Saccharomyces cerevisiae S288C: one gene and its partners. Changing the gene in region 3 together with the main gene of any one other region gives a genetic interaction. Each region holds a gene or a part of one and is shown on either strand. Other genes may lie near its edges.

Region 1 (2,931 bases), on a different chromosome or scaffold from region 3:
TCTGCAATATCATAAATGCATAAGAGATAATGAGGAAAATCCTGGGAAGTGTAAAGATGGAAGAATGATATTATCTACATGCATTAGAGAAAAAGTGCCCAGTGTGAAAAGTATCATGAGCGAATGTAGTGAGCCAATGAAGAAATATGACCAATGCATTCGTGATAATATGGGTACAAGAACTATTAACGAAAACTGTCTAGGATTCTTACAGGACTTAAGGAAATGTGCGGAATTGCAGGTTAAAAATAAAAATATTAAGCCTTCAATTAATGGAGTAAACTTGGAATTAATCAAGGACTGAATTAATAGGCTTCCTTTGTTTATTTCCGCCATTTTTATCGTTGCATAAAGACATTATATATTCCTGTGAATATTTTTTAACTAAAATGTCCGAAGAAATTACTGTATTTAAAGTATATATATTTTCTAAAGATACTTAGGTATACCTGACGGGCAGTCCTTTTTTCATCACAGAATAATTTTCGGTAAAGGATCATTCATTTCCATAGGTAGGAGAAGTAATACTTCAAATTATTTCAAAACTTTGCAACGGTTTCGTAGAAAGTCTTGCCTTGAATTTCGTGTACTTGTAATTCCAAGGCGGAAGGAGATCTTGAACCGTCACTGCCTGCAATGGTACCCGCACCCCATGGTGAACCACCGTGAACTTCATCCATATTGGTCAATTCAGCGAAAACATTCTTGTAACCCAATGGGACAAAAATGATACCGTGATGAGCCAAAGTAGACAAAGAGTTCATAATTGTGGCTTCATTACCACCACCAGTTCCGGTGGAGACGAAACAACCAGCGACCTTACCATGCAAAGCACCCTTAGCCCACAACCCACCGGTACGGTCCCAGAAAGCCTTCCATTGAGCAGGGAAGTTACCAAATCTAGTTGGAATACCAAACAAAAAGGCATCATATTCTGTCAACGTATCTTGAGTGGCAATTGGGTAATCTGGCTTTGGAGCACCGCCAAGCGCCTTAACAACTTCTGGAGACAACGTTTCCTCGACTTGATAAATGTCTGCAGAGCCTCCAGCGGCTTCAATTCCCTTCTTTTCTGCCTCTGCGGTGGCAGCAACGTGACCATATAGTGTGTAAATGATGATAGCTACTCTTGGCATTGTATATAATTGGATTCTTTTAACTAGAGAGTGGTGATGATTTATTGAATATATTATTCGACGATATTTAATTATATGAGAAAAACAGTAAAAAGAATAAGGCCAAATGCATTGATCGTTTTGCCGCTCGTTGACGTTTATATATATTTTATTGTTGTCCAGAGAGTAACTGTACTCAATTGTGGGAAAGGGGTTGCTAACGAAGCCAAGGCTTGCCAATACACTGCGCAGGTGCAGCCCCGCAGAATTATTAATTTTTTACTAAGACAGTCAAGAGACGGGTAAGCGATCGCAATGAGCGGCAATAGGAAAAATTAATAATGAATCAGTCAGCGTCGCAAAAGCCACAAGTAAAACGATTTAAGTCCATAATGTTATCCAGGGAAACAAGCCAGGCGCACGCACCTTAATAAGTTGGACACTCATCAAAACGCATGAGTCCCTCTGTTTCCAAGGCCAAAGAGGTGGCAGCCAATAACTATTAAGTTACGCTAGATGTTTCGAACCACCCAGGTCACACTGTCATTATTAGTAGTACATATATATATATATATATATAATTATCATTTAAAAGGAGATATATTACTGATAATCAAAATAGTAAAAACTACATCCGGAGTATGACAGTCCAACGATTATGTAGTATACTCCTTTTCACGTTTTTGCAAGAAATATTCCTTCTTCTTGCCATGATAAAAAGTTGTATTTAGATATTATCTCGATTTAAGTGGCTCTTCTTTTATTTCTTGCTACTGGTGGTTTTTTTTGTTGTCTTTCGTCCCAAGACAGAAAAAGAAAAAGAAGAATATAGGCAAAAATATAAAAAAACAAAACAAAAGAGGAAAGGGAAATTAAAAGAATAGCAAATGCTTTAATCACACACTTTGCGCTTCCTACAAAATTACGGCAATGATTTTGGATGTAACACGTAAAGATAAATAGCATAGTTCGCTTTCTTTTAAAAGAATAACTCTTGTTTCATGAAAGGATTTTGGTATGGCCCCGCAAAATCATTCAATTTTTTGTCATAATATCTTCTCTTTCACGATATAGATTCACGCAAGGGCGCTCACAGCAATGCTATCTCAATTGTAGAAATCTGCGAAGCGAGCAAAAGGCGCTTAATTTTGAATGCTCCAGTCAAGGCGAAAGAGTTTTTATTGAAGATGCAAGATCTTATGCAGATGTAAGGTTAGCGGTAATGTGTACTACATGCATAATTAATAAAGAAATCTAAATTACTTCGATGTGCTCATGCTCATACACCTAATTTTGTTTTCATATTTCAATGCCTTTACAAAAAATTGAGAACACAGAGAAGGCCTCCGATTTAGAATAGTACAAAATATCTATTTTTTTGCATTTAGGCTCCGTATAGAGTAAGCGAAGAAAACCGCCTGATTCAAGTGATTCTGCTTTTTTGGTTTACTTTCCACGCAGATTGGCTGCTCTGTTTGTTTATTTGTTTTGGGAACGCGGTATTACCTCTCATTTCTCTGAGCGACTTTTCAACTTGGCGCGCCGACATTTGCGCTTTTTTTTACAAGTTGTCAAACTCTCGGATTATTTAAAAAAAAGGGTTTTTTGCTCTTCTTGTTCCCATCTACGGGTTTCACGGAAAAACTACCCCGAAAAAGAAGCACAGCTTTATAAAAAGACCGTATTAATTTGCTTTATTGGGTAATAACGGGGCATTCGGGACATACAATCATACGCTAGATGCTGCGTGTAATAATTAACATTGTAAATCCCTATCTTTTTTTTTTATATAAGTAGAGTACTTTAAAAAGAGTGG
Region 2 (3,551 bases), on a different chromosome or scaffold from region 3:
ATTCAATCGGAGAAACCCCTTTGACAACCGGTTTGCATCTTCTTTAGGGGCCTGCATGGTTATATCCTGGCATGCGTCCACATAACTAGACCATATTTCTGCGCATTCTTGGAGCAAAGGCAGACACTCTTGTGGCACGTCGTCATCATCAAGAAACTTCTGAACTAAATGCCTAAGCCTGCCGAACCGCTCTTTAGCAGATTCGACAACCTCACTTAAGGCTTGTTCTGAGCCCATTACGCTTGTGCCTATTTGTGTAGAGAGATAATAAAGAAAGGACTCCACATACGTTGGAGAATACCTAGCAACTAAATATAGCTGGTGTTTACTTGATGTGTTGAAGTGAGGCGCAAGGAAAAAAGAAAAAAAATCAATGCCCGGTAGATCAATTGGACCAGGGGTTCTTGTTTTGCGACGCCGTACAGACAAGGCCAACTTTATAAAAACGATATTAGAAATTATTGTATATATGTATATAAATGTAGTATTTTTATCAACAGAAAATAGGTGGAAAACTCCCACCCTGTGCTAGACTTCATTCAAAGAGAGTCGGCTTTAACGTGGAGGACTTCCTTGTCTGTGGCGACGTTTTGAGACGAGGAATGACTGGTAGTTTGCTCGGGAAGTTCGTAGTTCTCTTGCACATTGATCTCACCATCTTCATTGAAGTTGATGTTCTCCATCTTGGCAAACAGTTGTCTCTTTTGCTCTTCCGTCAACTCCTGCTTTTTCTTGTTCTTGATCCAGTATCCTGGGTTCAAGTGTTTCAATTGTAAGTTTTTGGTGAAAGGCAAGTGACCACGCCTTTCTTCGAATATCATTAAACTCAACACAATGATAAGAACCAACCAATAGATGTTGTAACAAAGCATGGATGACAAGTAGCCGGTGTTCTGCCATCCAAGCAAAGCATTGAAGATATCCCACCCATTGTCCAGTTCTGGGTTGCAACAATTGACATGGTAAACGGCCTTTCTGATGTTATAAGACCCATTACCATCACCGCCTTCGGAAGCATCACCACCACTGGCAAGGTTGAATCTGTAATTTTCAAAGTACCACGCACCACGAGAGAAAAGACCGGCGGAGATCAGGTACAAGATCGAAGTAGACAAAATCAAGAAAATCTGCAGCGAGGATTTCGAAGCACCATAGTACAACAAATACCCAACAAGACCACCACATATCAAACCAACCACAACGGGCAATGGGTAAGCAGAGGCGTGCGAGCCCTGTGTGGTAATACCTGCACCGGCAACGAACACAACAGCTTCCAAACCTTCTCTCAAGACAGTAATAAACGGCAAAAGGAACATAGCATATCTTCTACTCAAGAACCCAATCTTGAAATAGTCTCTCTTACGGTGAGGAATCTCCACCAACGACCGCGCAATCTTCACTCTCCACTTACTCTGCATCTTATTCATTCTCAACATAGGAATACCCATCATCGAGATCATTATCGTCGCAATCATACAAAAGATACCTTCCCACAAGTCTTCCGCGCTTCCGAAAATATCCTTCTGCAGCGAATAGTACGCACCGATGAAACCTGCACCGATGGCCAGACAAATGATGAACCCGAGTAACACACCGACCCAAACCTGAATCCTTAATTTACGGTACAGCGCCCGGTCATGTTCCCCGATTGCCTGTTTCAAAAACGATAGCAGCACGGAAATAACAATCACTGCTTCCAAGCACTCTCTGAACACAACGAAGAAAACGGCCACGTTAAACACTTTGTTAGGCATGGCGGGAAGTATATGTGTGATGACCTGCTGAGAGAAGATTTCGACAACGTACAATCCGTCGTGTTATGTATTTTTTTGCTCACATTGAGCATTTTATATAACTAAAAGCTCAAGGTCGAACTACAGCCCATCGCTTCCACCGGGCCTTGCAACACCAACTTAGAAATCGGGTGCATTCATCTACGCTGTGCAGAGAATGAAATGCGCACCTTCTTACTGCTGCGACGGTGCTCGGCACGGCTTACGCGGGCGGGGGAAGGAAATAGCGGCCTGGCGTGAGTCGGCAGTCAGCGGCGGGCTCACTGTACTCGCTCGTTTAATGCACCAGCAGTATTCGCGCACTTAATAATAGTATTTCTGCACCCTGGCCTGGAAAGAATGCTCGATGCGCCCTGGTTGATTGGCGCAGAGCGTGTGTCAGTGCCGGACCCGATTTCTTTTTTTCTACACGTTGGTCTGATGTCTCAGGAGTTAGTAGTGACCGTGGTCAAGAAAAAAACAGGACGAAAAATTGTTGAGAACGTATACGTATATTGTATTCTTCTTTTTTTTCTTTGCTGCCCTTTTATTATCTATTTCATTTTTTAACCAGAGGCAATCGTAAGAGAGAGATAATATAGCCCTTTTTGGTCTTTTTTGGCACCTTCAGCCGGACCCTGCTCTTTTATTACCCGGATGCTCGGGTTTTGTCTTTGCATCCGGGTAGCAAAACAGAATACTTGCTTTCTTATTGAAGTAGAAAAAATACAGAGAAAGCGAAAAAGGCTTCCTTGGCGGATAGATGGTCTCACAACAAGCATAGCGTATACACGTGCACTCACAAGCATACACAGAAGCGCGCAAAATGAGTCTACCGGAGATTTTGCCTTTGGAAGTCATAGATAAAACAATTAACCAGAAAGTGTTGATTGTGCTGCAGTCGAACCGCGAGTTCGAGGGCACGTTAGTTGGTTTCGACGACTTCGTCAACGTTATACTGGAAGACGCTGTCGAGTGGCTTATCGATCCTGAGGACGAGAGCAGAAATGAGAAAGTTATGCAGCACCATGGCAGAATGCTTTTAAGCGGCAACAATATTGCCATCCTTGTGCCAGGCGGCAAAAAGACCCCTACGGAGGCGTTGTAAAAAGGCAAAAATTAACGCGAATTTGTATAGTGCATCTAAAAAAAATAATTAAGTATAAAAATAGATAAAGGAAATCAAGTGTTTCTTTTTTTTTTTTTGGTTTATTGTTTGACACTGGTGATTTGCTTAACCAGCGCCTCCAGCTTCGCGTTCGTGAGAGCGACGTCTTTTCCCCGCATCGCCACCGTACAATTCATTAAATGCCATATTCCGATCACGTATTGGACCTTGCGCATGCCGCCCTGCTGGCGGCACATATCGAAACACTTTGCTGAAATCGCATAGATCTCGCCCAGATCGTGTTCGAGCATTCGACCGCCTAAGTAGTTTACCAGTATTTGCAGCAACAGAGCCTTCTTCAATTTGAAGCGGTTGTCCGCAACGGCTTCTCCGGCAACGAACTTGTTGCTAGAGTAGAACTCGCGGAGCTTCGACACGTACTCGGCGCGCTGCTTGTCACTACATGGCAGCGGGTTCCAACTGAACGGCTCGAAATGGCTGAAAAGCCATAGGATCGTTACTGTGCACTCCCATATGGGGTTGAACTGCAGATCCGTTTCTTGTAGCAATTTCTCCACCTGAAGCCACACCTTGTTGCATTGCTCTACGAGTTCGCCCTGTTTGTCCCCCGAACATCGGCTCACTCTTGCCGCCTGCACTGTGTAGCAATT
Region 3 (3,560 bases):
TAGTGGTTTTTTATCTTTTCCGAAGAAGTTGATTGAACTCCAGAAGCTGTCTTGAAGTAGTCGCATTAAAAAAGATGGCACCCGAGTCTAGGCCAAGCCATAGTCATGTTATGATAGGATTTTATAAGACAAATATTATAAAGAAGTTTAATAATAATACAAAAAGATACAAAAAAACTTGAAGATATTCTGAATAAAAAAAAAAAGAATAAACATTTGGAGCAAAAGAAGAGTAGGTTAGGTAAAGGAGGCATTAATTAAAACAGCAGTTCTGTATTCAAAGCATCTTGCAATTCTTCTATAGAGACGCTTATATCCATATTATTTTTTTGTTCCTGTGCTACATTATGATTTGATATTCGTTCTTCATTCATGCCCTTATTCTTTCTCCCCCTCTTACTTTGAAAAGATTCTGATATTGTGCTTAACGATGAATTAAACTTATCCATAAAAGATGCATGCTTAAGATTTGTGTTGTTCTCTTTTACCGTATGTGTATCTGATCGTGCAATGAATGATGATAACAACGCCTTAGAACTTGAAATACGAGGACCATTACGACTAGGAGCCATTGTCGCTGCAACAGTTGGATGACAGTTCACTTGGACATTTGATATCGAAGTTCCAAACGTCGGATTAGATGGCCTGAAGAATGAGGCGGAGAAACTTCCCAGATTGAGCGACTTAGAAGGTGCTGGTTTGTTAGATAGTATACTTTCGTGAGAGTTATATCTCCTTAAAGGTTCGAATTCAGCACCCTTTGCGGTCACACCAACATGTGGAGGGGTACTTATGTTTGGTAGAATGATAGTATCTTGATCAGAATCAAAATCTTCATCATCCATTTCATCAAAGAAGGTCAACGAAAGTCTTTGTCTATTTTTGAAGAAAGACTCATACGTATCCGAGGAAGACGGTTTCTTACTTTTGTTCAAGCCAGTATCATGTGATTTGGCTGCACGTAAAGTGCGATTTCTTGCAGGTTGTTTTTTAGGTGAGCACGGTAAAGAGTTAGTTTTCGAAGGACAATCGACTTCATTGATGGGGTTAAAGCCTACCGATTTTTTTGGTGGTTTCGATGGAGTTACCATACACAGACGTTGCCTCTCAATTATTTTCAATGGTCGAGGTTGAAATGACCCTAAACTACTTCTGGTGGATTGCGATTGTGGAGAATCATTAGGCGCTTCATTTGGGACGGTGGCCAGCTCGTTCAACCTCAAAGTGATATCCTGGAATTCACGAACCAAGTCTTCTATGCGTTGATGCTCATTATCCTCTGTGATCAATCTGCGTTGTTGTTCCTTGCTCAACTTGTCTCGAACAGATTCCGATCTAACATACAAAGAGTTCAGTTGAGACATATACTGGTTGTACTGTTGGGATAACTTATCCAATGACTCTTGATCTGTTGTCTGGCATATTGATGATCTCTGCTGACGTTGTATCCACAGATCTAATTGCAAGATAGCCTCTTGCGACCTTATTAAAAGCCTCTCCGTGATATCCTCTAGGGCTTGGGTTGCCATTAATCGATGTGTCCTTGTTTCCTTATGCGAGCTGTTTCTTATCTATCTTATGGTCCCATTCTTTACTGCACTGTTTACATTTTGATCAATTGCGAAATGTTCCTACTATTTTTCTTTTTCTCTTTTCGCGAGTACTAATCACCGCGAACGGAAACTAATGAGTCCTCTGCGCGGAGACATGATTCCGCATGGGCGGCTCCTGTTAAGCCCCAGCGGAAATGTAATTCCACTGAGTGTCATTAAATAGTGCCAAAGCTTTATCAAATTGTTTGCGATGAGATAAGATAAAAGGGACAATATGAGGAGGAACACAGGTATATAAATATCGCCAAATAAAAGGAAAATGTTTATACAGTTTTCTCTTTTTTAAGTGCTGGATAGACAAGAGACAGGAAAATTAACCAGCGAGATGTCGATAGTCTACAATAAAACACCATTATTACGTCAATTCTTCCCCGGAAAGGCTTCTGCACAATTTTTCTTGAAATATGAATGCCTTCAACCAAGTGGCTCCTTCAAAAGTAGAGGAATCGGTAATCTCATCATGAAAAGTGCCATTCGAATTCAAAAGGACGGTAAAAGATCTCCTCAGGTTTTCGCTAGTTCTGGCGGTAATGCCGGTTTTGCTGCTGCAACAGCATGTCAAAGACTGTCTCTACCATGTACAGTCGTGGTTCCTACAGCGACAAAGAAGAGAATGGTAGATAAAATCAGGAACACCGGTGCCCAGGTTATCGTGAGTGGTGCCTACTGGAAAGAAGCAGATACTTTTTTAAAAACAAATGTCATGAATAAAATAGACTCTCAGGTCATTGAGCCCATTTATGTTCATCCCTTCGATAATCCGGATATTTGGGAAGGACATTCATCTATGATAGATGAAATAGTACAAGATTTGAAATCGCAACATATTTCCGTGAATAAGGTTAAAGGCATAGTATGCAGCGTTGGTGGAGGTGGTTTATACAATGGTATTATTCAAGGTTTGGAAAGGTATGGTTTAGCTGATAGGATCCCTATTGTGGGGGTGGAAACGAATGGATGTCATGTTTTCAATACTTCTTTGAAAATAGGCCAACCAGTTCAATTCAAGAAGATAACAAGTATTGCTACTTCTCTAGGAACGGCCGTGATCTCTAATCAAACTTTCGAATACGCTCGCAAATACAACACCAGATCCGTTGTAATAGAGGACAAAGATGTTATTGAAACCTGTCTTAAATATACACATCAATTCAATATGGTGATTGAACCGGCATGTGGCGCCGCATTGCATTTGGGTTACAACACTAAGATCCTAGAAAATGCACTGGGCTCAAAATTAGCTGCGGATGACATTGTGATAATTATTGCTTGTGGCGGCTCCTCTAATACTATAAAGGACTTGGAAGAAGCGTTGGATAGCATGAGAAAAAAAGACACTCCTGTAATAGAAGTCGCTGACAATTTCATATTTCCAGAAAAAAATATTGTGAATTTAAAAAGTGCTTGAAAATCCAATAACTTTTTCGTTGAAGCATCAATTTGCCCTTGATAATTTTCATACATGTACTACATACATTTTACTCATATATCACTATTTTGCTAGTATTGATTTTTTCCAGAAGTATTAGTGTAAGATTTCTCGAAGTAAGCATCAACATATCCAAAACGTTGACATATTTCTAGGCCGGCAATGCACAGAATTTGTATAAAGGGGGACATGCTGCAGAAATTTGCTCAAAATTATCCATGAAAGAAGTACCAATGAAGCACTAGCCTGTTCAAATTCACTTGATACTCGAGCATAAAGCATAAACTACTGCTTTTTAACTTATAATTTCTACCTCTAACACTCAGTGCAGTCTGTAATAAAACACACCAGATATCGTTCTATTAGTAATATAATTATGCTTCTCACGTCAAATTTACTAGCTCGAGAGTTAGTTAATCCTTACTAAGTGAAGAAAAGCAACTATAGTCATAGCAAACATAACATAACATAACATAAAATATAGGTTGTACTTTGTCAATAGAAATACAATCCTATGT

What was found.
Region 1: mutations in CHA1 (region 3) and PST2 together harm fitness more than expected from each alone (negative genetic interaction), as found in Saccharomyces cerevisiae (2 studies listed by BioGRID).
Region 2: mutations in CHA1 (region 3) and FTR1 together harm fitness more than expected from each alone (negative genetic interaction), as found in Saccharomyces cerevisiae (one large-scale study listed by BioGRID).

Annotation. Positions count from the first base shown.
Region 1 is NC_001136.10:503,560-506,490, forward strand, and holds PST2 (flavodoxin-like fold family protein), read right to left. Parts: upstream 1,137-2,931; coding exon 540-1,136; downstream 1-539. Other genes in the region: MIX14 (Mix14p), read left to right, coding at 1-304.
Region 2 is NC_001137.3:459,987-463,537, forward strand, and holds FTR1 (high-affinity iron permease FTR1), read right to left. Parts: upstream 1,755-3,551; coding exon 540-1,754; downstream 1-539. Other genes in the region: putative ubiquitin-specific protease UBP5, read right to left, coding at 1-237; YER145C-A (uncharacterized protein), read right to left, coding at 2,400-2,837; RNA-binding protein LSM5, read left to right, coding at 2,599-2,880; cohesin-loading factor complex subunit SCC4, read right to left, coding at 2,982-3,551. UniProt on the Saccharomyces cerevisiae protein: Permease for high affinity iron uptake.
Region 3 is NC_001135.5:15,259-18,818, reverse strand, and holds CHA1 (L-serine/L-threonine ammonia-lyase CHA1), read left to right. Parts: upstream 1-1,938; coding exon 1,939-3,021; downstream 3,022-3,560. Other genes in the region: chromatin-modulating protein MRC1, read left to right, coding at 1-3; VAC17 (Vac17p), read right to left, coding at 258-1,529.